7 linked regions of the Oryctolagus cuniculus genome follow. The protein of the gene in region 5 interacts with the protein of the main gene of each other region in a pairwise test. Links are inferred from orthologs where the notes say so. Each region holds a gene or a part of one and is shown on either strand. Other genes may lie near its edges.

Region 1 (4,228 bases), on a different chromosome or scaffold from region 5:
GAGACCTCTCTCTCTGGCTCTACCTCTCTCTGTAACGCTTTCAAATAAAATACTTCTTTAAAAAATGTGGAGAATGTGGTAGAGCCAGTGTTGTGGCACTGTGGGTTAAGCCAGCATCCCATATGTGCACTAGTTTCAGTCCCCGCTATTCTACTTTTGATTCAGGTCCCTGATAACGCACCTGGGAAAGAAGTGGAAGATGACCCAACTGCTTGGGCCCCGCGACCCACATGGGAGACCCAGATGGAGTTCCAGGCTCCTGGCTTCAGCAGGGTTTGAGGCCATTTGGGGAGTAAACCAGTGGATGGAAGATAGCTATCGCTATCGCTCTCTTTCTTTCTCTCTCTCTCTCTCTCTCCATCTTCCTCTCCATTTCCTTCTCCCTCTGGGTAACTCTGCTTTTCAGATACAAAAACAAACCTTTAAAATAAAAAGAGAATGCTATTCTATAGTTCTTCAGCATTTGAAGAATTATGGTTTCAACTATCTGAGAAAGAACCCAATTCTCTACCATGTAATAATCTGTAGGCTAAAGTACAAACTTGAAAGTGGGCAGAAGTCACTTAGCTAGTAGATGAACCTGGAAGGCCTAGGCCTATTATTCTCTTTTCCTGTACAGAAATAATTTAAAAACAAGTAAATAAGTTCCCTTTGAAAGACAACCCCAAAGAAAGTTCTGTTTTACTTCAAGTGACACATATGCAGTCTTAAGACTGTTCTTAGCTAGCAAAAGATAATACATTTAACTACATTTAACTACATTTCTATCATGGGAAACTACATCACAATAAAGACTTTGGAATCAGGAAGGTTTCTAAACCAACAAGTCAAGAATATTAGTATCTTGGTATACTAGTAATCATCTTTCTGAATCCTTATGATTAATCATATTTTTATAAACTAATAGATGGGGTTGGTACTATGACATACTGGGCTAAGCCTCCGTCTGCAGTGCCAAGTATCCCACATAGCCTGCTCCTCTTCCGATCCAGCTCTCTGCTATGACCCAGGAAAGCAGTGGAAGATGGCCCAAGTGCTTGAGCCCCTGCACTCGCATCGGAGACCCAGAAGGAGCTCCTGGCTCCTGGCTTTGGATCAGCATAGCTCCAGCCATTGCGACCATTTGGGAAGTGAACCAGAGGATGGAAGACCTCTCTCTGTCTTTCCCTCTCTCTGTAGCTCTGCCTCTCCAAAAATAAATAAATCTTTAAAAAATTTAACAGAATGAGATCCAAGGAAAATAACATTCTGCCATTAAACATCTCAAGACCTGACTGAAAATTGGCTTATGTTGAGAAGAGCAGTTTTAGATAAAGGATGTGAATCCCTAAAGAGCAGTAAAGAACTCCCAGTCATCAGCAGAAATTCACATCAAAAAGAAAGAACAAGCGTGAGTAAATTAACATTAAGTATGCACCAAATGTTTATCCTGCACCTGATTCTGAACAAAGCCCTTAGGGTAGAATAAACTACTTCTATACATATTAAGCATCAATTTAGGCACTTTACAACATGTTCTCAAATTATCCTCACATTAACCCTACAGAAAGCTCAAAAAGAGGAGTAAATTGAAACCACGTCTCTCTGGAGTATATGCGATCAAACTTATTGATGACTACATTCTCAGACTCATGTATTAACCATCTTGTTCTCTCAAGCTCCCAGAAACCAATCTTTTCCCTACTTTTCCTTGACCTTGACCAGCTTAATAAAAAAAAAAAAAAAAAAAAAAAAACTCAAATTTACACTTGAGAGCTGAAAAGGTGGGCGGTGTACAGAATTTGTGTGGTACTTTATTTTCTAGATTCTTATGGAAGGTGGGACCCTATGAGACAAGCCAAGGAGATACTAAGTCGGAAGAGTTTTTAGTTTCTCCCAAATTTTAGGAATGGACCAGTGAACTTTAACAAGGAGCTGGCACCTAATTTTTTTTTTCTAATATACTAATTCTAAAGCACAGAAGCAACCCCCCCCCTCACCCCAGGGGGCCCCGCACACACACTGTTTGACAGCTGTTTCAGAACAAGACAGCTGCTGTTTGTGGTGCTAAAAGAACAGTACTCGCAGTCAAAAGGGCTTTGGGTAAGCTATGAATCTCACTTCCCTTAACTGACAGCTGGGAGTGTGCTTCGTAGACAGAGCCGCAGCACAGACAGCACTCCTTCAATTTTTATTTTTCAGCCTAAGAGCAGCAAAACGTGCCAAATCCCATGTGTTGCCAGCCACCAGCTTGGACTCTGACAAGAATATTAAAGAGCCCACCATCACCCTCCAACTCCAAAAACAAACAGCCCCTTCGTTCATCACGAGCTGCGCCTCCACACACCAGCCTGATGGGCGCGACTACGTCATCAGGATACCCGCGCCCCGCACTTCTCCGACCCACTTAAGCAGAGCAGGGCCCGCCCGGCTGGGTCAGCGCAGTGCCCGCCGAGGAGCCTGATGTGGGGGAGGGGCACGGCCAAGCCAGCGCTCAGCCCACTCTGCTCACCTGTTCGAGCGCCGCCTCTTCAGAAGGGCCCGGGAGGGGGGCGCTGACCGGTCGCAGAAACGGAAAATGGTGCCGAGAATCCTAACCAGCCATCTGTACATACCAGGCCTGAGCAGCAGCGGCGGCCGACACACCCCGAGACGCAAACCCCAGAGCTGTCGCCGCCGCTGCCGCCTTCCCCGACTCGGCCACCACCGCCAAGACCTAGTCGCTGACTTGTGACGTGACAACAAGGCCCACAGATAAAACGTCCACACAGCTAGGGGAGGCGCCCGCCCGCCACAGCGCCTGACGTCACCTCCTCCCGCCCGACCGGAAAGCTTCCTCCTCGATATGCGCAAGCGCAACCTAGTACCGCCCCCTACCAGCGATCCTGGCAACCAGAAACGGCAGAACGATCTCCGGGCCAATCACTGACGAGGGAGCGGGGGCGGGGGCGGGGCTTCCTCTGTACGGAACCAGTCCCGATTCGGCCCGTGAGACAAGGCCCACAAGCCACACGTGAGAGCCATACCCCGGAGCCATCCGAGGTCCTAGAGCGCTGTTAGTGCTCAATAAGTTTTTGAGTATACAGGATAAAGGTAGGTCAGGCTAATTAACAAAAGACTACCGGCTCAGTCGCCCTTTATCTGACATATTCCCCCTACTTTTGAATGTGTTATACCTCCTTCAGGTTTCTCAGCGACCCTAGGCAATAGGGCGTCTTTTCGCCCGTTTTTCAAATAAAGGAAATGGAAATCACAAAACTGACTAGCGGTATAGCTGAAGTTTGAACCAAGGTATAAATACCAGCGTCAGTCCCTCGGCCTTGAGATCCCTCCCTCTACCGGGAGAAACTAGATTACAATACGGAATGACTGGTTGCTGTGATAAAGGATAGTGCAAAGTGCAGGGGACCCAGAAAAAGGAAAACTATGCGCTGAGGCAGGGTAAAGAGCAGACTCCTAAAGAAGGCTTCGCAGAGGTGAGGATGAAGACACCTGTGGCCTGCAATACACTTGTTTGCTCCCCTGGCCTGGCACAGTGAGTCTCATTACTTCCTTCTAAAATCTAGAGGTCGCAACTCTGGTTAATTATCAACTGTAGAACAAGTCTCATCCTGATTAGTGATAAAAAAGAAAAAAAAAAATCCGGTTACCTCCCTGAAACAATCCTGGGAGCTCTCATGCTACACAAATCCCAGAACCCCACTTGTTTTTTTACCTGCAATTCAGTTCAGGCTGGAGTCCCAGACTTTCCTGAACTTGCAAGAAACTCACTAAGGGATTCTCCAAACAAAAGAGCAGTTTCCCTTCCAAATTAATCAGAAAACTGCTCGTTTCTTTGGAATAGCAACCTATTCTGATCTGGTCACCAAGACTTGAGAAATAATTGAGATCAAGTCTCCTAGACCACAGTGCAAACCAAACTGTTTGCTTTTTTTTTCCTGCCTCATTCATTGTACAGGCACAAATTCAATACTAAAAGTTCGTAAGAGCCATGAAACGTGAGAAAGCTTCAATATTACAGACTTCAGCCATTATCACAAGTCCTTAGCAAACGATATCTCCAGAAATGAGTGGGGCAACGCACACCAACGTGCTGCCCGCCCTCACATTCCCCAACCTCCCTATCTCCTGCCACGGCCTGCAAGTCCTCTTAGTTACCCTCTGCAATGAAGAAATGGAGACTCATCCTTATAGTTGCTCCCACCTGGGACTTTTCTGCCAGTTGGTGCCTTCACTGTCCGGTGGTCCA
Region 2 (3,641 bases), on a different chromosome or scaffold from region 5:
TCCTTTTCATCCCTTTCAAAGAGATGACATAGTTTGGACACAAGCACAGTCCAATTGAGATTCGTTCACACGAGCCAGTTCCCATGTTGGAATATTGAAAGCATTTTATTAATACTGAGAGTAATAGTTCTATTGCATACTATGATTATAAATAATACATTTAATTTGTATAGAAGTCTGATTATAACTGATTTTTTTTTAAATGCCCAGAACAATGTGGCCATAAGGCTGAATGAGGATTGCTTTGACACTTACTGCAAAATAATCTACCTTGCTTCCTTCTCATTTTCTGGATCATTTATGTGCAGTCTTAGTCTGGGTACCCTGCCAGATCTGGCACCAGGATCAGCAGTGTGGTGTCCTGCGTGCTGGACATGCAGTTTGTCATATTTACTCCCAAACTAAAGAGCCTGACATTTTCTAACTATTTAAAGAACCCTCCACAAGGGGGCAGCTCCCAAGGCAGTATAGAGCATGACAGTGCAATGTCAGTGGATGCTGACTCCAGGAATATGGGAGTCCCCATGAGAGCCTTTGAGAAGTCTTACCAAGCCTCATTGGCACGTAGGCTGTGCTCGGATGAGCATTTCTGTGTTTCAGTCAAATAGGGGACACACTGGCGCCATCTTTTCAGCATCCGTGGAATTAGCATCTGCACTTAGAACAGTGTCTGGCCTTTAGTAAGGACTCAGTGAATGCTTCGTGAACATTTTATCAGCCTCCTCTGCCTGAAAACAACTTCCTCAAAAAACAAACCATATGTGAACTTCCTAAATCTCCAGCAAAATACTCTGTTAAAAACACAGTCACACTCCGCTGGAAAAGGAATGTGAATGTGCAGTGACCTCGCTGGCCCTCAGAAATTGCCCCTACTTTGGAGCTGGCAAAGCATTCTGTGTGCATATCATCCCTTCCTATTTATACGATGCGAAAGCAGAGCAGATCTCCGTTTAAGGAAACCATTTCAATACAATTCTATACCAATTCTACACACTGTAAAATCACTTCATTAAAACAAAGTTGGGTTCTGCTATTGCAAATCTCCTGTTCTGTTTTATTAAAATGCAAACTTCCTCATAGCAGCTCTCAAAGGGCATTCACAGTTTATCTACAGAGAAGGGGGAAATGGTTAACATGAGGTTGGGGGAAAGGATGTAGCATTCTGTTCTGAGAGAGCGTTATCTACAGCTGACCATGCTTTCTCATAAAGAGCGGGAGAATGTTCCGGCAGGTCTCGGCAGGAGAGAGGACTCACCTGATTGTGGTAATAACCAGGCACTCCTAGTTTGCAAGCCTCCAGGTTGAGGGGTTCTTTAAGATTGGTCATGACACAGCACTGGCGAGGCCAGGGATAGTCGGCATCATTATTCTCAGCTCGGAAGGCAGACGTGTATTTCTGCCAGTCTGATGGGCCATTGACGCCACAGCAATTGTCCTGTCAGTGGATGAGAGACACACATTCCCTTTCATGAGCCTCGCTCAAGCCATCGATGTAGCAAGTGAACTTTTAAACAGAAAGAAGAAGGGGCCGGGCGCTGTGGTGCATCCCATATGGGCGCCAGTTCTAGTCCTGGCTGCTCCTCTTCTGATCCAGCTCTCTGCTGTGGCCTGGGAAAGCAGTAGAAGATGGCCCAAGTGCTTGGGCCCCTGCACTTGCATGGGAGACCCGGAGGAAGCTCCTGGTTGCTGGTTTCAGATCGGCGTAGCTCCAGCCATTGCGGCCATCTGGGAAGTGAACCAGCAGATGGAAGACCTTTCTCTCTGTCTCTGCTTCTCTCTGTAACTCTGGCTTTCAAATAAAATAAAAAAGTTTTTAAAAAGAAAGAAAAAAGAAATAGAGGGGCCAGTGTTAAACTGCTCCTTGCATTGCTGGCTGCTCTGCATCTATCCAGCTCCTGCTAATGCTCCCTGAAAAGTGGTAGAAAATGACCCAAGTGCTTGGGCCCCTGTCACACATGTGGGAGACCTGGATGGAGTTCTGGTCTTCTGGCTTTTACCTCACCCAGCCCTAGCTGTTGTCATATGGGTGTGAACCAAGGATATAAGATATCTCATTCTGCCTCTCAAATAAATGCATAATTTCTAAAAACATTTATTTATTTTAAAGGCAGAGTTACAGAGAGGCAGAGGCAGAGAGAGAGAGAGAGGTCTTCTATCCACTGGTTCACTCCCCAGATGGCTGCAGTGGCCAGAGCTGTGCCGATCCAAAGCCAGGAGCCAGGAGCTTCTATCCCGTCTCCCACGCAGGTGCAGGGGACCAAGGACTTGCGCCATCTCCCACTGTCCTCCCAGGCAATAGCAGAGAGCTAATTTGGAAGTGGAGCTGTCAGGATTTGAACAATGGGATGCCAGCCCTGCAGGCAGCAGCTTCACTCGCTATGACACAGCGCTGGCCCCTGAATAATTTTTTTTTTTAATAAAAGATTTATTTATTTACTTGAGAGGAAAGTTACAGATAGAGAGAGACAGAGAGAAAGGTCTTCTATCCTCTGGTTCACTCCCCAAATGGCTGCAACAGCTGAAGCTGGACTGATCTGAAGCCAGGAGCCAGGAGCTTCTTCTTGGTCTCCCAGGTGTATGCAGGGGCCCAAGTACTTGGGCCATCTTCCACTGCTGTCCCAGGTCACAGCAGGGAGCTGGAGTGGAAGAGGAGCTGCCTAGAATTGAATCAGCACTCATATGGGATACCGGTGCTGCAGGTGGAGCCTAAGCCCACCATGCCACAGCACTGGCCTCTGAATAAATTTTTTAAAAAACAAGAAGAAATGGAAATCATACTATATTTTACTTCTAACAAATGAGAGTTTCAGGGCTCAATAAATCAATTTAGAGTTTATAGAACATTTTTCATAGCTTTTACCATCTCATTAATGAACTCTGTAACCTGTGACATGTTATTTAAACTACCCGAGCCTCATTTTCTTTACTATAAAATTAGGATAAGTATACTTGTAGTGTCTGCCCCATAGAATTGTGATAATTAAGAGAGTTAACATATAATATGTTTAGTAAAGTTCCTGGATCACAGTAAACCTTTAATAAACAATTATTATTAATACAAATATCTTGAAGCAGCAATGCAAAAGAGGTATAATTATTCTAATATCACATGAGTAATTTGAGAATCAGGAAATTTATAAATTTACTGGTAAAGAAATTATGAGTAATTTTCTTGTTAGAGTGATTATGTTTTACTTCTAAAATGGCAAAGAAACTAGAAAAGCTAACCAAAACCTGGTGCCACACAGCCAAATCTCTTTATGTGAAAGGAAGTTTAATCACATGTGACTGATATCCTTACACTGTGAATAGGAATCCGGATAGAAGGTAAAACAATTAATATTACTTCCCTACCTTTTAGAAAGTAAATTCTATGAAAATATTTCAAGAGAGGAAGTTAAAACCATAGGCACCTCTTAGAATAAATGTAATAATTAAACATAATGATAAATCAATTATCCTGAAAGGATGTCCAGTTTCACCACTGTATTATGGAAACTATGCAGCCAGGAAAAATAATCATTCTGGTTTTTAAAAAAATTAATCATGAGAGAGAGAGAGAGAGAGAGAGAAAGAGATGAACTGTTCTTCTCCACTGGTTCACTCGTCAATGCCAGAGGAGCCAGGAACTCAATCCAGGT
Region 3 (4,211 bases), on a different chromosome or scaffold from region 5:
CACTCCCTGGCCACAGCAGAGAGCTGGCCTGGAAGAGGGGCAACCGGGACAGAATCCGGCACCCCGACTGGGACTAGAACCCGGTGTGCCGGCGCCGCAAGGCGGAGGATTAGCCTAGTGAGCCATGGCGCCAGCCTTTCGTAAGCTTTTTTCAGTACCACTTGCCTCCTACTCATTTTAAGTATGGGTTTATGCAGCTGGAATACTTCTCCTCTTGTTGTTGAGAATGCAAGACTCGCTTCCTGTTTGTGTCAACAGATGTGTCCACTGACTTACTGGAGAAGGGTGTTTAGGGCTGGCTCTAGAAGCTTGCTCTGGCAAGTGGAAAACGATGGCAGTGATGAACAGAATGCTGGGTTCTCCAGATAGTTACCTAGCAGCTCACCTGTTTGATGATGTATGTTAGCTCCTCAATTTCCACTGCTTTATCATCAAAGAGGGACTTGCGCTTTGCCACTACAGAGATAAACAAGAAGCCACGGTGGGTGAGAACAAAGGCAAGGCTCAGGGGGCTGGCTCCTCTGCCCTCTTTGGTTCATCCCACAACCAGTAAAAGATCCCATGAATACTTACGGATTGTCAGCTTCTCCAGCTTGGCAAATGTGTTGCTGAGGTCTTTCCCGATGCGCCTGCAAATGACCAACAGTGAGAACACCATGGAAGGGGGAGGGAGAGGGCTTATTCTCACACTAGCTCTTAGCACAGCCAATCCCAGCCCTTACAGCCAAGTCACCAAAAGCAAGCTTCCTTCCAGACACTGTATCACCCTGCCACAAAGCTGCTCTCAACTCACTTGGCCATGAGGGTGAATTCACTGCGCTGTCGGACAGCACGCAGGGCCGGCTTATTTGTCTGGATTCCATTCTGAAAAGCAATGTCCGGAGGTGAAAACTTCACTTTCCTCCTCCCCACTTCCAGCTTTCAACGTTTCTCGGGCTCCCCCCAAGCTCTCTCTCGTGCTCCCCCCAAGCTCTCTCCAGTTCTGCTGGCCTAGATTTATCAGCAATAGTGTTCAGAAGCCAGATCTGAAGACGGGCAGGCTTAAGCTCAAGTCTGGACTCTACCACTAATTAGCAGAATTAGCGCAAGTTAAACTCTTCTACATCTGTTTCCTCTCCCTGAAGATGAAGACAATCCACTCACCTCTGATAGTTGCTGCCAAAACTAGATAACATAAAGGCTGTAAAGGATTTTAACCAACCACCTGCGGCACTAAAGAAAGATCCCTCACATCGGCATCAAAGAGGAGAACCCGAAAGCTCTTGGAGACCATAGAGAAGAGAAGTTCGTCAACAAGAGCTGAACAATAAAAATATTTTAAAATACTTACTCAGGTCCCACTTAGTGTCAAAATCTGGGGACTTAAACTAGGGACTCTAATTCTTAAACAAACACTCCAAAATGACTTGGATAAAAACGGCCCATCCGGAAAACTTCCTTCTGCTCCCCCACCGTCTCTCTCTGTTTTACAGACTGAAAATTTTAATTTCCCCAGAGTCGCAGAGCAAACTCACGGCAGGACCACACTGCAAGCACAATTCAAGGTGCGTGCCCCACAGCGGGTGGCTCTTTCTAGGTTTATTCCTTATCCAAAAACCCTGCAGCCCTTTAGGCATTCCATCAATCTGACCCTCCGGGGAACTTCTTCCCAAGCCCACGTGTCCCTGATGGTGGGGAGCAGACCTGCCCGGATGTGGGCGAGGCTCCCACTCTGGGCCTTACCTGACGACTCTGCAGCGACTTGCAGGCGGACAGGAACTCCTGGGTCCGATCCCGGCAGGACATGGTGTCGGGAGGGGAGGGGGCCGGGGCCACTGGGGGGGGCAGAGGGGCGATGTCGCTGCTGCTACTGCCAGCAGTTGCAGGGGACAGGACCTGTGTCTTCGAGAGACCCAGGTAGACGCCCTGATCCGTGTTCTTAGACCCGTAGCGTTTCCGCGGGATCATTGAGACGCATAACCTCTGTCGTGGAGGGGAGAGAGTCATTCCCCAAGCAGTGCAAACGCCTTCCCCACAAACGCCCCTCCAACCAGCAAATCCTGGGCCACCCGCAGACCCCGGGGCCGGCGCGCAGCGGGAAGGGCCCCACCTCCTCCGGGCCCGGGTCGAACCCTCCTCAGACTCTTCCAACTCGGCTCCGGCGGCCAGAGCGCGGGTAGGGGGCCCCGAGGCGGAGCCAGAGCCAGGTCCCGAGGCCCTGAGGCTCCAGCCCGGCCTGTGCAACTGCCCCAGCCCCTAACTGGGCCCCCGCATAGCCGTGGTTGCCTCTGACCCTTCGGGAAGAAACGGTGACGGACCTCCTGCGGGGGGACACACTTCGGTGGGCGGAGAGGGAACCTCTAGGTGTTTATTTGAAACAGGAAGTCCCACCCCTGCCAAAGTCCCGCCTCCTGAAGGACTGCGCCACTCATTAGCTAACGCCGACGTCTTTCTCAACAGAGGCTTTCCTGATTGGACGTCGTGGTATTCGCTCACCCGGAGCCGGGCCGGCAGGACTTGCCCGCTCGTTCCCGGCTCCCTTCCCCCGCCCGTCGCTACCCCGGTGAAGTCGCTGCCCAGGAGCTACACGGCGGCCAGACGCCCTCAGGACGAATCCTACCTCCTGTCTGCCGCCTGCCGCCGCAGCTACTGCCACAGCCTCCCGGACCGTCACCGCCTCCTCCCCGGGCTCTGAAGCCGCCGAAATCCGACCGAAACCTAGGGTCCGCCACGTCACCCACACGTAACCCCACCCCCGTGACGGGAAGGCAGCGCCACGCCTTTTCGAGCCCGGCGACCTGGGAGGCACGCCCCCCGCCCAGACGCAAGCGTGGCTCCCCCCTCCCATTGGCCGGGCCGCCGCCGTAGCCCCGCCCCGGGACGGAGCCTTAAAGAGCCCGCCGCCTCCGGGGCCCCTGAGCCCACAGCCCACGGAGCGGGCTGCAGAGGGTACGAGTCATCTGGCGGGTCCACGTTAGAAATTTTATTCTCTGAGGGCTGCGGCGGACTGACAGCAGGGCTGGGGTCACCCCTTCTCCGGCTCTTCCTGGCTTTCCTCAGGTTTGTCTTCCGGGATGGGACTCTCCCTCTTCTGGATCTGCTCTGACTGCCTCTTGCCGGACCGCGAGGAGCCCCGGCGGCTGAACAGGGATAGCCGCCGCCACAGCACGGTGATCAGAAGGCTTTCGTTCGACTTGCGATTCCGGTGGCCAGGGGAGTCCAAATCGATTCCGTGGGCGCCTGCAGGGACGAGGCCGCTGAAATCACCTCTACCCTCCCCGGCCGGACCTCCGGGGCTCTCCCCCGGGGCAGCGCCTTCCCCAGCCTCCGGGCCCTCACCGCCCCTGGTCCTACCTTCCCCAGCTCCCTCGAACTCTTTGGCCTGCTCATCGGTGGTCGGAAAGTCCTTGTCTTGGCAGCAGCCCATGGCCCCGCACGGCCCCTGACTCCGTACCACCCACGCCAGCCTGCCTGGCTCCAGGCCCGGCTTTTGTGACGTCAGATATCCCACTGCCCCAGCGCAGGGAGCCCCCACAAGCCACCCCTCTCCTCCCATCACAAAAGGCTCAGGGTCATGCGGGTATTGAGCTGTTTATTTACAAAACGGGCACAGGGTCTTCAAGGGCTGGTGGAGCCAGCGCGCTTCTTTTTTCTCCGTCTGCTTTGGAGAGCCCCTTGCGCCGGCTCCGAATCAGGGAGTTTGCGCTTGGCAGCTGCCTCCAAAGATGCCCAAAGTTCATCCGTCTCCCTGTCTTCTGAGGGCAGCTCACCGGGCTCTTGAGGCTCTTGGGGTTCATCCTGGAGAGTGGGAACGAAGTGCAGGGTCAGAGGCACAGTGACAGACCCCGGGAAGGAAGCCCTGCCTGGGAGGCAATTCCCCTGAGCATCAGCACCTTTGTCATTTTCCCAGCAACCACTGCTGTCCAAGCTCCTGGAGATGCCACGCTTGGCAGTCACCCTGTCAGAACTTCAGCTGTTCACACCCCAGGAAAATGTAGTAACTGGGCAGCCCCCTGTGTGTTCCAGCTGCCTCTCTCTGTCCTCGGCTGCCGTGTTCCCAGACCCAGTTACTTACCTCCCAGTTATCCCTGCCTGACAGGAGCAGGCAGTTCAGTCGAGACTTGAGATAAACCTGCAAAGGAGGAAAGGCCTTGAGGAGCCCTGGCCTGAGGCAGAGACAGGAATGGGGCACAGAATGCAGGGGCTCCAAGACAGAGTTAGGGGTGAGGTCA
Region 4 (4,311 bases), on a different chromosome or scaffold from region 5:
TGTTTATTTTTACAAAGACTCTTTTTCTCTCAAGATGCTATTGGATTAAACTTATTTCCCAGGTTAATAACTTATTATTGATGTAACAAAGATGTAAGTCTCAGCCATTCTTGCTCATTGCCCAAAAGATAGATAAACATTGGCATGTATTCCTTACCCTTGAATCTCAATTGGATCTCACATCCTATTGCCTTCATACCCCACTCCCACAGCCACCTGAAAGACCAGTTGCTGGAACACTTGAAAGACCAGTTCCGGGAATTCCCCTCCACCTGCTGCTCCCTAATCCCACCCCCGCCTCTAGCCCTCCTAAAATATAAACAGGCCAGGACCCCCAGGACGGGGGGTCAGGGCCTCCTGCCACGTGTTCCATCAATGTGCAGGAGGGCAGTTGGTCATTCACCTCTTCTAATTTATTTTCTCTGAATAAATTCAGTCTGGCTGTAAATTCATTCACTGCCTCCTCTCTATTCTGCACCTCTTTTCCTAACATTTATGGTGCCCCGTGTGAGGAGGCACCAATCTGCAACTCTTTTCCTAACAATTATAAAAACTTATTTTTGTGTTTTAAGAAAGCAACTTTAAGGCAGAAACTGAAGTCACAGCTACATCACTGTCACAATGGGAAACCGAGGAAACAGGACATGATGAAGATTCAGAGACCTCTAGCCGGGAGACCATTACCTTGTCACACATCAGCAACATCAGAACGCAAACACCAGCGGACTCCGAGCATTTCCTGCGTCCCAGATGTCTTCAAAAACCATTGCTGCAGAGTCTCCTCAGGGTACCTCATCCTGTGAGATAACACGAAATTCTCACTTGACCCAGGCAGCAGCACCAACACACTCCTCACCACACCCTACCCCAAGCACTGAAAAACCCCAGTCGGCACATTGCTATATGTAAGGCAGTATTCAGCACCACGTGTCTAAGGGATTCAGGCGTGCTCCCTAACCCCAACGATGCTTCTAGAAGGGAGCCGAGGGAGCAGCAGGGAGCCGGCTCGCTGGGGGCTCCGAGAGACCCCTGCTGCCTTAGCCCAGCACGAGTCTCCCCCCCTGAGTGTGACCAAGCACAAATCAGTTAGCCTCTGCTGCCCCGCCAGTGGGTCTCGGACTACTTGTTTGCAAGACGAGAAACTTGGACGAAGTTCTCTCAGACTTCCCTGAACTAACTCTGCAGGTAACAGTGAGTACCAGTATGAATCAGGAAAGGTAAGTCAACCACCTCTCGTGGGCCGGGAGAAGCTGAGCTATTGTGTTAAATGTAGGGACCTGTAGGCAGCTAATCCCACGGCCCTAGCATACGGGGTCACGGTACCGAACAGCGAGTTTCAGGGTCCGGAACAGGAAGCCAAAGCGGATGTCGCCCCTCTTCCGGAAGTCCCGCCCACTCCAGGAAGCGAGTCCCCATCGCTCCTCCAGCCATGCCCTTTACGACAACAGCGAACTACTTTTCCCAGAATGCCATTCAACTCTCCTCGCGGAGCACCAATGGGCGCCCGGGTTGACGCCATCAGTCGGCGCGGTGTACCAGGCTTCAGTGATGTCGTGGCGCTTGGGGTGAAGAAGTTGGTGCTTCGCGGCGCCCTGGGACTGAAGACGCGGTCCGGGTGACCTCTGGCCCTTTCCTAACTTCTCTACCCCCGCCTGCCTTTTTCCTCCCTCTTCTGGCGGGATGAGGCGTGCAGGCCTGGGTAAGAAGAGGTCCGAGGTGCGAAGTGGGGAGCCCCAGAGCCGGCCTTGGTCGGCGCGGGAGAAAATCGCCCTGGTGTCCTGTCACTCGGCATCTGGTCCAGAAACGGCGTGTGTGGAGGGGAGCCATGCAGGCGGTGCCTAGTGGAAGCACGTCATTTGTCCTAGATCTTACGGGGGTATCCTTAGGTTTGGTCTCCGGACCCGAGTCTTGGAGAGTAGCATAGGACTGGGGTGCGGTATATGCAGGTGCCAGCTCAGTCGTCGGACTGTGTGCTGTGTGGTGGCCTGGCCTCTCTGCTGTTTCTGCTTTCCTGCTGCCTCTGCCTCTTAGAAGGGAGATACGAAGAGTGGGGTTGCATGCTAAGCGCTTCCACAGTGATTATGTGAGTCGGCTAGCAGTGAGTGACAAAGGTACATGTACACGTCGTTACCTTACAGGCCTTGGGGTGTAAGGTCGGGGTCAAAGGCAGTGTGCCTGGAGCATTTCTTATCTGAACCTCTTCCACTGGTTAGCAGCTGTCGGGACTACCTCTTATGGTTCTGAAGCTCTGTACTAGGAGATGGTTAAACACGAGGAGGAGGAGGAGAAAGACGAGAAAGAACCCTGCTCTATCAGTGCAGCGTGATTGAGAATATATGTGAGCATTGGCGAAAGATGACTGTCTCTGCCAGCCGTGGTAATAACTTGGCAAAAACGAAAACAGGGCTTACGAAAAGTGTCAACTTTAAGGTCAATGAAAGTTGTCAGTGTGTCAGTGTTCTTTCTTAGTGCAGTTTTTGTGAATCTGGTTGGAGAAAGCCAGGTAAATTGAAGACAGAAAAGAATGTTGATCAAGTTTAGTTTTCACCAGCCTATGTGTTTTCTCAGTGTCTTTAGGTTGTATACCTGAATGAGCTCTAGCTATATAGTTGTTTTGTTACTTTCTTGGTGCTCCCCACAGCTGGGAAGTAGGAAAATGTGCAAAGGTAAATTATGGTACAAGGTGGCAGCTATACATCCAAACACAAGATAATGTTCTGCAGATAATGTCTCAGAAATTGCAGAGATGGTGACCTTGAAGTAGACCATGAATAATGAAGTTAGGAAAGATGAGTTTCAGGTGAGAGGATCACTAAAAAAGAAAAGAAAAAACAAAGAGCATAGAACTAGGATTATGTAGCTAAGGAATTATGACTCAACCAATTTGATTGAACCAAGAAACATGAGACCACATTGTGGAGATTGCATTATAGGCCAAGGAGTTTAGATTTCCTAAATTGCCCTTGAGGCCCACTTATTTTTTGCACTGCACTCTCCCTGGTTAAGTTGCAGGAAGGGGACTTGAGAAGTAATTGTTCTCAGTCCTGATAGCACATCGATTAAGGAACTGTTGCTATAATTTACATTGTTATGAAGTGACGGTTTTTTTTAAAAAAACTTGAAGTGCCAGTGTGAAATGACCTGCAATTTTAGATTTGGAATAATAATGAATTTGATAGATATTCATGTGAAGAATATTTGTGTTGGTGGATGATGTTTTTTGCTTTTTTTTTTTTTTTTCAAATATTTATTTATTTGACAGGCAGGGTGACAGATCTTTTGTTTGCTAGTTTACTCCCCAGATGGCCTCAACAGCTAAAACTGGGCTAAACTAAAGCCAGGAGTCAGGAACTCCATCTGGGTCTCCTACATGGATGGCAGTTTGGCTCCTCCCCCACTGCCTTTCCAGCCACATTAGTAGGGAGCTGCTTTGGGAGCAGAGTAGCCAGGACTTGAACAGGCATCTGATAAGGGATGCCCAGCATGGCAAGCAGTGGCCTAATTTGCTACACCATGAGTCCATCCCTGGGGGAGGGTGATAGCTGAGAGAAGATAAAACTCTAATAGAAATATGCACTGAAAGATTTCCAGACAAGAAATAAAATGAGAATTTCATTTTAAATAGATGGAACAGGGACAGGTATTTGACCTAAGTAGTTAAGCCACTGGTTGGGGCAACTTTGTTGAAATGCTTGGTTTCTTGTCCCGGCTCTGCCGCCAGTTCCAGCTTCCTGCCAGCGCAAACCCTGGGAAGGTAGCAGGTGACTGCTTGAGTAGTTGGGTCCCTGGCATCCTTGGGGGAGCCCTGGATCTAGTCTCCAGTTCTTGACTTCCGCCTGGCTCAGCCCTGCTGTTCATTTGGGGGCACAGACTGGCCTAAGGGAGCTCTCTGTCTCTTTGCTTCTCAAAATTTTTTTAATGAATAAATGAAGCAATATAAAAGAAATCTAAAACTAAAATTAATGTATGTGAAAAGACCCAAACAAAGGACATATAGTAAGTAGCTATTCATTTAGAACTTGAAGAAGTTCTAGAATTTCTTGAAGTTACAAAGTGATTGAATCCAACCAGTCAGTAATTACTTATTGGGCAATGTTATATACTTTGGCTCTTAAACATATAAAATAAGTAGAAGATGTTTCCATTTCCTTAAGGATGTTGATCATTATTATAGATTGCACAGACTATTCATTAATAAAGTTGCATTTTTCAAGACAATGATTTTAGTTGTTGAGTGGGGGGAAAATGAGCCCAGTCTTTAAATTCATAACACATTAGCTTTATGGACAGTGTGTCAGCTGTTGGGGGAGA
Region 5 (3,641 bases):
CTAGTCCGGAGCGCCCTGTGGCCGTGTGAAGCCAGTCCCCTTCCCGGCCCTGTTCTCCCCCAGGGCTGCGTCTGGCATTGAGGAGGGTCTGAGGTTCTGAATGCAGGATCTGGAATCACGCGTGCTGGGGTCTGGATCCACGTGCTCACCGTGCAGCCTTGGCCACGTTTCTTAGCCTGTGCTCAGTGTCCTCTGTGCGGTTGAGGGTGGTGATTCTGTGAGTAGTTAGGACGGCGGGCACGGCGCCTCCGGGAAGTCTTCTCGCCAAAAAGTCAAACCGGGGTCTGGGCGAGCCCCTAGGTCGCTCAGTCGCAGGAAGTAATGACGAAGAAAAGTCACTGTGAGATGGAAAGAAATGGAACCCTTCAGCCGAAAGCAGTGGAGGGCCTTCTGCGGGTCCTCACTGAACAAACCAAACGTGCAGAGACATCTGTGAGATAGTCACACCAGAAAGCTCAAGGTACGGGATGAGGCGAAGACGTTGTCGATCCCCACGATGCTGATACTGGAAGTGGCTTTTACTCAAGGAAGCGAGTCCTCAAACAGATCAGTGCCGAGGGACTGCAGCGGAAGTGGGTGGCTGGGATGTGCTTCATAATAATCGAGTCGGGGCCTGCATTTAGCCTAGACCACGTCAGGGGCCGGCGTTGTGGCCTAGCGGGTAAAGCTGCCCCCTACGACGCCCGCATTCCATATAAGTACCGGTTCATGTCCCAGCTGCTCCACCTCTCATCCAGCTCCCTGCTATGACCTGGGAAACCAATAGAAGATGCCCAGGTGTTTGGGCCCTGCTTCCCATGTGAGAGACCCGGATGAAGCTCCTGGCTCCTGGCTTTGATTTGGCTCAGCCCTGGCTGTGGTGGCCATCTGGGGAAGTGAACCAGCAGATGGAAGAGCTCTTTCTTTCTCTGTCTCTTCTCTCTGTAACTCTGACTTTCAAATAAATAAACAGGTATTTTTAAACAGACACCAGTTCAGGTGCCCGCATCCCTGGGTTGGATGCCAGCTCTGGCTCCTGACTCCAGCTTCCTGCTCCTGCAGGCAGTGACAACGGTTCCAGTCACTGAGTTTCCAGCACCCACTGGAGACGTGCGTTGAGTTTCCTGCGCCCTGCCTCAGCCTGACCCGACCCAGCCTTTGTGGGCATTTGGGGAGTGAGCGAGCCGGCAGATGGGAGCGCTTTGGCTCTCTCTGTGTCTGTCTCTTTGCCTCTCAAATAAGTAAATAAAGTTTTAAATAAGCAGGGCAGGCCTTTGGTTTAATGGTTAAGGTGCCACTTGGGACGCTGCATCCCGTCTCAGAGCCCCTGGGTTCAGGTCTCCCCGACGGCTCCTACTTCCAGCCCCTGCTAGTGCGCACCCTGGGCCAGTGCGGGGATCCCGGCCGCCCCAGGCTGAGTTGCTGGCTCACTTCAGCCTGGCCTGCTGTAGCTGCTGCAGGCGTCTGCGGAGTGACTCAGCGGCTGGATCTTCGTCCCTGTGTCTCTGCCTCCAGATAAACAGGAGTAATATGAAATAAAATTCTCATGTAGATACTTGTGTACACATATGCATGAGGGGGTTCAAAAAGCTCATGGATGGCCGGCGCCGTGGCTCAATAGGCTAATCCTCCACCTTGCGGCGCCGGCACACCGGGTTCTAGTCCCGGTCGGGGCGCCGGATTCTGTCCCGGTTGCCCCTCTTCCAGGCCAGCTCTCTGCTGTGGCCCGGGAGTGCAGTGGAGGATGGCCCAAGTGCTTGGGCCCTGCACCCCATGGGAGACCAGGAAAAGCACCTGGCTCCTGGCTCCTGCCATCGGATCAGCACGGTGCGCCGGCTGCAGCGGCGGCCATTGGAGGGTGAACCAACGGCAAAGGAAGACCTTTCTCTCTCTGTCTCTCTCTCTCACTGTCCACTCTGCCTGTCAAAAAAAAAAAAAAAAAAAAAAGCTCATGGAAATGAGAATTATGAGGAATGCATAGATCTCAAACATTGTTCACACCAAACTAAACAACTTTATATAAAAACCTTGAGAGATCCTGTCTTCAGCCCACTCCCCTGGTGCTTGAAGTGGTCTTACCCAAGCCAAGGGCTAGGAACCCAACCCCGGGCTCCCAGGCGGGTGCCAGGAGCCCGGTTACTCGAGCTGTCCGTGCTGCCTCCCAGAGTCTGCACCGCAGGAAGCCTGAGGCAGGGAGCAAACCCAGGAAGCAAATGTCTTAACGGGTGGCATCTTAACCACTGGGCCAAGTGCCCGCCCCAAACTGGTACAAACTGGGAATTCCATCTTCCCGTGAACACGTCGGAGACCCCTCGTGCTTGTACACCATCTATCAAGCATTTGATGTTTGCCAGGAAAACACACTGGCTGTTTTACGCTCATCAACATGTAGGTACTGGAGCTACCACCAGTGTAACCGGGGCCAGCCTGCTGGACTTCTCTGCGCCCGAGTTATCTTTTAAAATGGGGGATAAAGAGGCCGGCGCTGTGGCATAGTAGGCTAAGCCTCCACCTGTGGTGCCAGCCTCCCACAGGGGCACCAATTCTAGTCCCGGCTGCTCTTCCAATCCAGCCCTCTGCTGTGGCCTGGAAAAGCAGTACAGGATGGCCCAAGTCCTTGGGCCCCTGCACCCGCGTGGGAGACCCGGAGGAAGCTCCTGGCTCCTGGCTTTAGGTCTGCCCGGCTCCAGCCGTTGCAGTCATTTGAGAAGTGAACCAGCAAATGGAAGATCTCTCTTTGTCTCAGTTTCTCCCTCTCTCTGTAACTCTGCCTTTTAAATAAATAAATAAATCTAAAAACAAACAAACAAACAGCCAGGGCCCCTCTAGGAAGGTTGCACTCGCGTTCGGCAGATGCCAGAGGCCCTTTCTTCCAGAACGGGAAGCTGCTGGCCGAGCGGGACGGAGTGAAGAGGAGGAGTGAGGAGCTGGCCACGGAGAAGGACGCTTTGAAGGTGCTGCCCCGCCCTGGCGCCTGGCACCTCCCCAGCATCCCCGGGCCGTTTGCACCACCTCGGGTTTCAGCCACCACGGCTGCCGAGAGCAAGGGTCTTCCATAGCGCTCCAGCCGGCAGGCCGGTGAGGCCGCCCACAGGGCTCGGTTGAGACCCCTGTGGTGGTGGCTGACGGCCAGGGATGCTGCGGGAGGGCGGGGCTGGGGAGGGCAGGGCTGAGGGGAGTCCCAGAGGCCAGACAGACACGGGCTCTTCCCTGGCAGCGGCAGCTCTACGAGTGTGAACGCCTCATTTGCCAACGAGACGCCGTCCTCTCCGAGGTGAGGGGCCGGGGAGGGGGATGGGTTGCCCGCCTTGGTCACCTGCCTGGTCCGTCGCAGTCGGGCGAGGGACGTCCTGCCTGGGTCTGACCCCGGCTCCCCCGGGGTCCCAGATGTGGCCCTGCAGGCTGAGGAATCCCTCTGCCTGTGCTGTCCTCAGGCCCTAGCCTGTCCCCTCAGTGCCCTGCCAGTGCCCAGCAGTAGCAGCTCCCCTGCCTCTGGGCAGTGGGCCCTGCTTACGGGCTTTGGGCTCCCGCAGCGCACGAGCCACGCGGAGAGCCTGGCCAAGACCTTGGAGGAGTACAGGACGACGACCCAGGTAACGGGCTGCCCTCGCTCTCTCCGTGCAGGGTCTGGACTCGCTGCCCCTCCTGGGGCCTCTCTGCCT
Region 6 (4,350 bases), on a different chromosome or scaffold from region 5:
GGGTTCTCCAGACCCCTTGCTGTTATCACAGTTCTTTTCTTAAGTAGTTACCAGTGCTTTGGGGAGTCAGGGAATAAACCCCCAAACAACACATGAACCTAGTCAGCGGTAGCATTTGATTCCTATGCCAAGACCAAAGCAAAACCACAGAATCAATAAAGCCAGGTGACAATCCTTAAAAAACCTTAAGACCCAGAGACCCCAAAGCATGGCAGCCAGCCTCTCCCCCAGCAGGAAGAGCCAACACATTAAAAATAAACGGTCTTTATTGCGTCCACGAAAACAAAGTCGAGGTGGCCCTTGGTTAACCTCAAAAAGGTGACAACGAACAGGAGGCATGCATGAGCACATGACAACATCTCTGAAGGAGTGAAGTCTTGCCCTCCCAGGCCCTAAGGGTCAGAGGCAAGCAGGGCCAGGAGGCTCCAGAGGAAGGCACGCCCAGGCCTACCAGAACGTGAAGGGCCCGAGTCTGCTGCCTCCCTGGTGGGAGCAGGCAGGGGGAGCAAGCACTGCTCAGGGCTAGGCCCAGCCCCCAAAGCTAGAACACACAGAAAAGCCCCCACCCCCACCCCCAGCACACACTGCACTAAGGCAGACAGCCAGGACTTCAAAGAGCTGGCTCTGAAATCAAGACCCTCAGGGATCCATCCAGAAGGGGTTGCCTTCCTCTGCCTGCAAGGAATAGTAAACAAAGAGCAGGAAGGCAGCAAAGACCAGGAAAAGCAGCAGCTGGCCCCAGAGTGGGACCTGGCGGTCCTGACCCAGACCAGCTGCAGGGGCCTGCTTTTCTGGTCGGATGGCACGGCGGGCGAGCCATGATGGAGAAGGCGAAGAGGCCACAGAAGAGGAGGATGCAGGGTAATAGGACAGGCCCAAGGAACTCCTGGAGACGTTGGAAACAGGGCGGTAGTGTGCGATGCTCTGGTAGGCACTGTCACGGCCATATGTGGAGCGTTCCCTAATGCAAAAGAGGGGAGCAGGTGAGCCAGGAGAGCTAGGCCCAGAATCACTGCTCCCAGGGCCTTCCCACTACTCACCTGTCCTTGTCCTCCTCTTCAGAAGAGAAAAGATGGTCACTGCGCACCTGCAGACCAGAATCGAGGTGACGGGACTGGCCAGCAGGGTCAGCACAGCCTGTCGTATTACTCAGCCCACTCTAACCATTGCTTAAAGGCCAGACAGGGCAGGCATTGTGGCGTGGCAGGTTTGGTTGCCAGTTAGGGTGCCCATATCCCATACGGAGTGCCAGTTCAAGTTTTGGCTGGTTTGCTTCTGGTCCCCTGCTACCCCTGTGGAAAACCTAGATGGAGTTCTGGGCTCCTGGCTTTGCCATGGCCCCCATCCTGGGCATTTAGGACATTAACCAGGGGATGGAAGACCTCACTTTCTCTTTTTGTCTTCCTGTTGCTCTGGTTTCAAGCAGATGAAAATAAACATTTTTTTTTTTAAGATTCTACTTATTTATTTGAAAGGCAGAGTTAGAGAGGGAGAGATCTTCCACCTGTTGGTTAACTCCCCAAATGGCCACAATGGCCAGGGCTGAGCCAGGCTGAAGCCAGGAGCCTGGAATTCCATCCAGGTCTCCCATGGGAGTGGCAGGAGCCCAAGTACTCACACCATCCCCCACTGCTTTCCCAGGCACAGTAGCAGGGAGCTGGATCAGAAGTGGAGCAGCCAGGACTCCAACCTGGATGCACATGGGATGCTGGCACTGCAGGCGGTAGCTTAACCTGCTGTGCCACAGCACTGACCCCAGAACCCTCTTTTCTCCCCCTGGATTCTGAGTTGGAACTTCAGATCCTGACCAGGGTGCAGGCCACATCCTGTGTGCTCTAGTCAAATACTCTTGACACGCCCCGTAGCAAAGTCCTAACTCATCCTAACTCTCTCTGGAAACCTAGGAGCTAGCATTTGTACCCAGTGATGCTGGGATTTACCCAAACCCAGCTGTCATCCCTTCAAGCTGCCCCCGGATATGAGGTGCCCGACGGCAGCTCACCTGGTGGTGGGAGGTGTCAGCATCAGAAAGCGAAGTCCCGGGTTGCCGGAAGCCTTTGGATGTGCCCACAGACTCGGGCTCCCCGTAAGTCCTGGTGCTCAAGTAACTCTCCTCGTAGTAGTCATCATTATAGCCTTGAAAAAGGGAGCACTGGTAGCAGAGGGCAGACCCGTGTTCCCCAGCTGCTCCAGGGACCCTTATTTAAACAGCGTTTTTGGGGCCCCTCTCAGGTCGCTGAGGCTGGTGGGGAGTCGAGGCCTCAGGTTTTCCCTACGCCCACGGTCCGGGACAGGGTGGGTGAAGGTGTTGGGGTGATGGTGTTAAGGGTGTCAATTCCTTGCCTTACCCTTGCTCTGGTAAAGTAAGGCGTCCTCTTTCTTGGGCAGGTCGTACTTATCCGAGTCCACAGATGCCGAATCCAAGTCTGAATTGAGGGGGGGGACGAGACCATTTTCCCCCAGGCTTCCCTCCCTTCTTCGCAGTGCCTCTCTCGGCTAGCAACCCACCCCCCACGCCACACCCTCGAAATCCCACCCTCCCTGTCACCACCGGCAGCCAGCTGCTCACCCGAGAACCGATAGGAGAACGAGGAAGCAGACGAGTTGGGTGGGGAGAGCCTCCGCCTCTGGGTCTCGTACTCGAAGATTTTCTTTTCGTAGAGCTTGCGAGTGGAGCCTGACCAGACAGCGGGCGCGGGGCGGTCAGGGTCGTGGGCTGCGAGCCCAGGGAGGGAATCTGGGTAGGGGACGCAGGCGGGGGGTACCGGGGGGCTGCGAGACGGCGCGCGGGAGAGCGAGTCCCGGGAGGCGTCCCGCCCGCTCCCGCGTACCCACGACTGGCCCGTGCGGAATGTTGTACTGGCGCAGCACGGCGGCCAGCTCGGTGTCCGACAGGACCGCGTAGTCGTCCATCGCGGGCGCGGCCGGCAGGTGGCGAAGGGCTGGGGGCAGCCCGGGCCTGGCGACACAGGCCAAGCAACACCACTGCCTCGCAGGGCTCGGGAGCGGCCGCGCTTGCGTCACGTCTGCGTCACGCTCCCGTCATGGCCGCGGGCTCCGCAGGCTGCGCGCGCTGCGCGGGGCGGAGCCAAACCACAAGGAGGAGCCGGCACGGACCGGTCTAGCTGTGGGAGCGGGCGGGGCGGGCCTGGCGAGCTCGTATTTCAAAAACGTGCGAGATTGGTTTGTGGCGGAAGAGGGGCGGGGCCTGTGTGGGAGCCAAAGTGGCTCAGACTACTCAGGCCGTGGGAGTGGGCGGGGCTGCACGCTCGAGAAAAGGGGCTGGACGGGCACGCCAAGACGTCACACGCAGGCGCTTCTGAGCTAGACTCGCGGGAGGGGCGGAGCCTATGCGACCCGAACCGGTAGAAACCGGCCAGAACGTGGGAGCTAGGGAGCCGGCGGCGTGGGTGTCTTTGCGGTGGTTCGGGCCGGTTGACTCTTGCCACATCCCTGCGCCTGCACTCGTCGTCCCCCTTTTCCCGGGATCCCAGGCCGAGGGTTCTCCCGCAGCAGCGGGAAGGAGCCACCCTTTGCACAGCGCCGCTCTCGGGCCAGCCACTGCTGTCTACGCTTTGGGTGCGCTACGCGGACCCCCTGGCCCAGGCCGGCCTCGCTGACCTGCACCGGCCCTCGCCTGCGCACCTGCGCCCATCGGTTCCCATCGCCTCCCTCCCTCCTTCCCTTGCTCCTCCCGCCCTCCACCCGGGAGGAAATGGGGCACTGGGCCAGGAGGACGCGGGCACTCCTGGAGCAAACAGCCTTCGAAGGGGCCCGGCGGGCCGTTCCAGCGGGCACGGGCAGAGCGCGCTTCGGAGAGGGAGTGTGCCCTCCCAGCCCACCCTACTGTCAACCCGGGGTACTGGGTGGAAGGGAAGGGGGCTCCAGTCGGAATGGCCCTGAGCCCAGTGACCAGGAGGGGGCCGGGCAGGGGCAGAGGAGCCTGGTGAGCCGTGAGAGACTGCCAAGGCTTGCTCAGGTTCCTGTACTGTGGCTGGGTTGGCAAGGGTCTTAATCAGAAGAGGGCTGTCCCCTTGGGGAGTCGAAAGGAAGTGACAGAAGTGGGTGCATGAAGAGATGAGGTGCCGTCCTGGCCTCACAGATGTTAGCTGGTGACAAGAAAGTGCGAGGGCTCTGATCAGCTCCAGGCTGAAGGGCCCAAACTGGTGATGGTCACAGGCCAGTTCTCTGAGGAAGATTGCTCACACAGAATGGGGACAGACAGACCAGGGAAGAATGTGGAAGAGACGAGGCCCTTTGACCGTAGACAAAAACCCTAAGGAAGAGGGGTTTCCGTTTGCCAGATTCTAGAATAAAGACCTGGCCCAGTCTGTTCCTAGCAATGTGGGA
Region 7 (4,438 bases), on a different chromosome or scaffold from region 5:
ACTTCTTGGGACAGCACCCCTTGGGCGTCGCCCTCCTGTCCTCAGCTGCACCTGAGCAGCCCCGTGGCCTTGAGCACGCACTTGACCTGGAGCCATTGTGAAATGGGAGCAAGTCTCATCCCTGGGCTACGGCAAGGCAGAGGAGACCCACGGGACCCTCAGCCCAGGGTGGGGGCTCGGTGGGTATTCTGTGGACCCTGCCTCCGGCACTAACAGGTGAGGTGACCTGGGCACTCTCTCTGCCTCTGTTTCCACATCTGGAAAATGGGCCGGATGGTGGTGGCTATTTCCGTGAAGTGGAACAAGCGCCAGTGTGAGGTGAGACAGCCCTGCCCTCGCTGCGGCTCTGGGACGGCTGTGCCTCCGGGGGAGGGGGCCTCGCCTCCCTGAACCCCGACGCTGAGCAGCGCGGGTGAAGCCAGGTCTCATGGGAGAGCTGCCTGGCTGCAAAAAGGCAGGAGCCGGGGGGGGGGGGGGGTTGCCCTTCACCGGTGACCCTGGGCAGGCGTCAGCTGCCTCGGTCCTGCCTGGGAGTCCCCCCTCTGGAGCAGCCCTGCCCGGGACTGAGACTCAGTGCCTTCCCCAGCCACCTGGCGGCCCCACGGGTTAGCAAGGGGTTCACACCTGCCGGAACCCCCCCTCCCTGCGTGGGACAGGCTCGGGCGCAGCAGACAGAAGCAGTTGATAGAGGGGCTGCCTCAGCACGAGGAGTGGGCACAGCTGTCTCTGCTCTCGGGCTGAGCAGGGGTCTGGGCCAGGCTCTGCTAATTGGGCGCACCTGACCTTGACGGGGAGCGGGGGGTGGGAGCAAAGCCCAGCCGGGATCAGGAGCGTCCCCAAGGGTCCCCATGGCAACCTGGGTGCCCAGATGTGACCAGCTGGTCCCCCTTTCCTGCCGCCCCCTCCCCCCCACGCAAACCACAGACAGCAGAGCGGAGAGAGTCACACCCACTTTGGGGAGCTGAGTGAGCCCCTCGAAGGGTGCACGTGGGGATACAGGCGGCACCACCGAGACCTCATCCCACCCCCGCCCAGCTGTCAGCAGGTCCTCAAGCCTTGGGTCAGAGCCCGAGGGCGACTACCTAAAACCACCAAGGCGAAAACACTTCAGCTAGCTCCGGGTACCCCCACCCCCTTGTGGCTTTTTAAAAAGTAGCAGCAAGGTGCTGGGAACGGATGCTGGGTGTCTGATTTCAGATCTGCGAGACGTTTACAGATGGGAGTCACCTGTTTAAGCACGAAGTCGTGAAAACACTGTTCTAGCGCATGCAAACGAGTCCAGAAAAAAAAAAAAAAAAAAGCAAAGCCCACCCCGGGCCCAGGTGGAAGAATCAAGGGGTCCCCACTTCCCTCCCTCCATTGGGTGCACCGGGGGTCCCTGGAGAACACCTCCCTCCAGCACCCACACCAGGCCAGCGGGCAGAAAGGGCAGGATTGGCACTGCAGCACCAGGGGGGCAGGGGGCGGGCGCCCCCGCACTGGGCTCACCCCAGAACCAGAGTCCCCGGGCACGCGGGATCGGGCGACCGCTAGCCCCTGGATCTGTCCACGAAGGGACGTGCTGCCCACCGAGGTCACTTATCAGGGTGCTGACCCCGAGGCGAGGCCTCCCACCCACCGCCCCGCTCCAGAACCGCGGGCGGGCACGCTGTCCCCGCCGGGGCCGCCTCTGCCGCACGCGCCCGCCCCGCTTCGCGTCTCCGGCGCGCGCGGCGCGGGGGTGCCCGAGGCCCCTTACCTTATCCGGGGGCGGGAACTGCAGCTGATTGACGTCCAGGGGCGTCATCAGGGGAATGGTGTCGAAGCCATCCTCAGGCAGCGGCTGCTTGCTGCCCTTGTCGGCGAAATTGTTCCCCAACTTCACCATGGTTCCGGGAGACCCGAGGCTGCCGCCTGCGGAGGCAGGGCCGGGCGGGAGTTACCGCGAGCAGGACGCGGGGAGGGTCCGCCCGCCGGCCCGGCCGACGTCTCCGGGGAGGGGTCGAGGGGACGCGGCGGTCACCGCCGATGCGGAGTGGGGGTGGGGGCGCGCTCTGCATTTGCGGAGCCACCTCGCTGCGCGCGCAGGGGCGCCCCGCGGCCGGCGAAGGGCCGCCGCCCCTGTCCAGCCCGTCTGGGCGCGCCCCTTGCCCGGGGCCCGCCGCGCCCTGGCCACCCCGCCCGCCCCGGTCTCCCCACCCGCGACTCGGGGCGTTGAGCGGCCCCCGAGCCCCGCTCCCTGGCGGGCGGCGCCCGGCCTCGGCCGCACTCACCCCACGCCCGGCTCCGGCAGGTCTGGGCTGCGAGCGCGCTCCGAGCCTCCGCGTCGGCCGCTCCTGCGCGCAGCAATGGCGGAGGCGGCGCCGCGCGGGGCTGGCGCGGAGCAGCGATTGGGCTCGACTGCGGCCCCCTCCTCCCCGCGCCCGCCGCCTCCCTTCCTGCCGCTCCCGGGGTTAATTGTGCGCGGGTGGCGGCGGCGGCGCCTCCGCCTTGACGCAGCGCGCCCGGCAGCACAAAGGAGCGCGCGGCCGGGCGGGGGAGCCTCCCCCGGGACCCCGCGGCCGCCCCAAGCCCGGGGACAGCCGAGAAGGGGGCGGGGGTGGGGCGCGCCCCGCTGGGAGGCTTGAGGGTGGAAAGGCGCCCCGGGGCGCGAGAGGGTGCGGGCTGCGCAGGCCTGGGGCGGTGGCGGCGGCGCGGGCGCAAGGCGATTCGAAACGAGAAGGGGGGTTTAGGGCTGGAGCGATCCCCCAAAGGTGGGGGGACGTGGGGAGTGGGGCAGTCGCGCAGACCTGGGCGTCCTAGGAAGCGTTTGGAGAGATCCCCAGAGGCGGCGGGCTGGGGCCGAGTCCAGAGCCTCCCCTGGTGCTGGGCCGGGGTGGGAGAGGCGACGGGCGGCAGGGTCCCGTGGGTGCGGGATGCAGGGCTGCGCCTCCGAGAGCGGGGGACGCGGGCGCCGGAGGGCAGGTGTCCGGGGCGGAGAGCGCGCGGCGCGGTGAGACCGAGGGGCTCCTGCAGTCTGGCCGGAGCGGAAGGCGAGATCCCGCGCGCCCGGCGGAGGAGGGGCCGCTTGGACGGTCCCGGGCGCGCAACGAGGACGCGGGGTTCTAGCCTGACCCGCCCCCCACCAGCCAAGCCGGACCGCGTCGCAGTGGCCCGGATCAGGGGGCCCGCTTTTGCGGACCTCCAGAAGGAGGACTTGGGGCACTCGCCCGAGGACAAGCTCCGGGGGCGCGCGAGGATCGCGGCCTCCCGGGCACCTGGAAGGCGTTCACACCCCTTGCGAGCGGTGGAGGATCGGAGGCCTGGGGTTTCCCGTCAGTTCGGGAGTCTCCGGGAATAAAGAAAGAAACGGGGTTGGGTGGGGAGCGGAGCGGGACCCGCCGCGGCCGGCCTGGAGCGCAGGCCCAGTGAGGGAGCCTGCCTGCCGTAGAGGGTGCGGGGAGGTCTGATTTCAGAATCCCCCTCCCCCGGCCCCGACCCGTTACTGGTGAGCTCCTGGGCTCTGCTTCAGCCTCCCCAAGTCTCCAGCAGAGGCTTGGCGGGGTTTCGCGGAGGAGGCGGGGGTGGGGGTGGGAGGGAGCCGGGCCATGCTCTCCCTAAGTGGTACCTGGGGTCCACCCAGGAGGGATGCGGGCTCTGCCTCCGGCCCCTCCCACCGGCCTTAGGCAAGGTCACAGCCATCTCCCACTTGGAAGTCACTCCAGCCACCAGTCCTGCGACAGGAGAAACCACATGGGCTTAAACGGGGGAGTGGCTCTGTCCCCATTTCAGACCTGTGCATGTCACAGAACCCAATATATGTGTTGGTGGTGTGTGCACTGGGGGTGTGGCAGCTCCCCCTCTACTGTACCCCACCAGCAGGAAGGAGGCTGCAAGGATGTTGGTGAGCCTGGGGCTCTCCTTTGTCAGGGAGGGTGGAGAGGACAGAGAAAAGCATCCCCCACCTGCCCCAAACACAGGATGGAGGGGGGTGCATGTGGGTGTCAAGAACGCCTTATTGGGGTGGGGCCAAGTTCAGAAGGAAAAAGCCCAGAGTCTTGCAGGGGTCAGGGGAGGATACAGATGCGATGAAAAAAAAAAAAAAATACCTTAGAGTGCAGGGCTTTATCAGAGGCTGAGGCCCCCAGTTCCACACCCCCATTTTTTTTAAAGATGTATTTATTTGAAAGAGTTACACAGAGAGAGGAGAGGCAGAGGCAGAGAGAGGTCTTCCATCTGCTGGTTCACTCCCCAATTGGCTGCAATGGCCGGAGCTGCGCCAATCCGAAGCCAGGAGCCAGGAGCCTCCTCCAGGTCTCTCACCTGGGCACAGGGGCCCCAGGACTTGGGCCATCTTCCACTGCTTTCCCAGGACACAGCAGGAGCTGGATAGGAAGTGGAGCAGCCAGCATCCATATGGGATACGGGCACTGCAGGCGGGTAAAGCTACGCCACAGCGCCACCCCCACACCCCCGATTT

The links.
Region 1: the proteins of KASH5 (region 5) and SENP2 interact in binary tests that used the Homo sapiens proteins (3 or more experiments, as listed by UniProt). The two-hybrid records come from large-scale screens. The link is inferred for Oryctolagus cuniculus from reciprocal best matches to the Homo sapiens genes KASH5 and SENP2.
Region 2: the proteins of KASH5 (region 5) and UPK1B interact in binary tests that used the Homo sapiens proteins (3 or more experiments, as listed by UniProt). The two-hybrid records come from large-scale screens. The link is inferred for Oryctolagus cuniculus from reciprocal best matches to the Homo sapiens genes KASH5 and UPK1B.
Region 3: the proteins of KASH5 (region 5) and STX5 interact in binary tests that used the Homo sapiens proteins (3 or more experiments, as listed by UniProt). The two-hybrid records come from large-scale screens. The link is inferred for Oryctolagus cuniculus from reciprocal best matches to the Homo sapiens genes KASH5 and STX5.
Region 4: the proteins of KASH5 (region 5) and BET1 interact in binary tests that used the Homo sapiens proteins (3 or more experiments, as listed by UniProt). The two-hybrid records come from large-scale screens. The link is inferred for Oryctolagus cuniculus from reciprocal best matches to the Homo sapiens genes KASH5 and BET1.
Region 6: the proteins of KASH5 (region 5) and EMD interact in binary tests that used the Homo sapiens proteins (3 or more experiments, as listed by UniProt). The two-hybrid records come from large-scale screens. The link is inferred for Oryctolagus cuniculus from reciprocal best matches to the Homo sapiens genes KASH5 and EMD.
Region 7: the proteins of KASH5 (region 5) and NSG1 interact in binary tests that used the Homo sapiens proteins (3 or more experiments, as listed by UniProt). The two-hybrid records come from large-scale screens. The link is inferred for Oryctolagus cuniculus from reciprocal best matches to the Homo sapiens genes KASH5 and NSG1.

What each region holds. Positions count from the first base shown.
Region 1 is NC_091435.1:95,245,884-95,250,111, reverse strand, and holds the start of SENP2 (sentrin-specific protease 2), read right to left. Parts: upstream 2,806-4,228; 5' UTR 2,593-2,805; coding exon of another isoform or gene 2,492-2,592; intron 421-2,491; 5' UTR 286-420; coding exon 182-285; intron 1-181. UniProt on the Homo sapiens protein: Protease that catalyzes two essential functions in the SUMO pathway.
Region 2 is NC_091435.1:75,698,286-75,701,926, reverse strand, and holds part of UPK1B (uroplakin-1b), read right to left. Parts: intron 1,790-3,641; coding exon of another isoform or gene 1,565-1,789; exon of another isoform or gene 1,436-1,564; coding exon 1,256-1,435; intron 1-1,255. UniProt on the Homo sapiens protein: Component of the asymmetric unit membrane (AUM); a highly specialized biomembrane elaborated by terminally differentiated urothelial cells.
Region 3 is NC_091432.1:8,759,332-8,763,542, reverse strand, and holds the start of STX5 (syntaxin-5), read right to left. Parts: upstream 2,832-4,211; 5' UTR 2,828-2,831; coding exon 2,600-2,827; intron 2,374-2,599; exon of another isoform or gene 2,090-2,373; intron 1,963-2,089; coding exon 1,723-1,962; intron 865-1,722; coding exon 794-864; intron 630-793; coding exon 574-629; intron 457-573; coding exon 386-456; intron 1-385. Other genes in the region: TEX54 (testis-expressed protein 54), read right to left, coding at 3,005-3,219, 3,334-3,406; WDR74 (WD repeat-containing protein 74), read right to left, coding at 3,598-3,777, 4,055-4,111. UniProt on the Homo sapiens protein: Mediates endoplasmic reticulum to Golgi transport.
Region 4 is NC_091447.1:41,915,416-41,919,726, forward strand, and holds the start of BET1 (BET1 homolog), read left to right. Parts: upstream 1-1,471; 5' UTR 1,472-1,680; coding exon 1,681-1,699; intron 1,700-4,311. UniProt on the Homo sapiens protein: Required for vesicular transport from the ER to the Golgi complex. Functions as a SNARE involved in the docking process of ER-derived vesicles with the cis-Golgi membrane.
Region 5 is NC_091449.1:7,997,799-8,001,439, reverse strand, and holds part of KASH5 (protein KASH5), read left to right. Parts: intron 1-2,855; coding exon 2,856-2,933; intron 2,934-3,196; coding exon 3,197-3,253; intron 3,254-3,512; coding exon 3,513-3,572; intron 3,573-3,641. UniProt on the Homo sapiens protein: As a component of the LINC (LInker of Nucleoskeleton and Cytoskeleton) complex, involved in the connection between the nuclear lamina and the cytoskeleton.
Region 6 is NC_091453.1:132,604,067-132,608,416, reverse strand, and holds EMD (emerin), read right to left. Parts: upstream 2,914-4,350; coding exon 2,832-2,913; intron 2,678-2,831; coding exon 2,570-2,677; intron 2,427-2,569; coding exon 2,349-2,426; intron 2,137-2,348; coding exon 2,003-2,136; intron 1,088-2,002; coding exon 1,041-1,087; intron 962-1,040; coding exon 640-961; downstream 1-639. UniProt on the Homo sapiens protein: Stabilizes and promotes the formation of a nuclear actin cortical network. Stimulates actin polymerization in vitro by binding and stabilizing the pointed end of growing filaments. Inhibits beta-catenin activity by preventing its accumulation in the nucleus.
Region 7 is NC_091433.1:4,764,558-4,768,995, forward strand, and holds the start of NSG1 (neuronal vesicle trafficking-associated protein 1), read right to left. Parts: upstream 2,902-4,438; 5' UTR 2,769-2,901; intron 2,385-2,768; exon of another isoform or gene 2,253-2,384; intron 1,894-2,252; 5' UTR 1,868-1,893; coding exon 1,739-1,867; intron 1-1,738.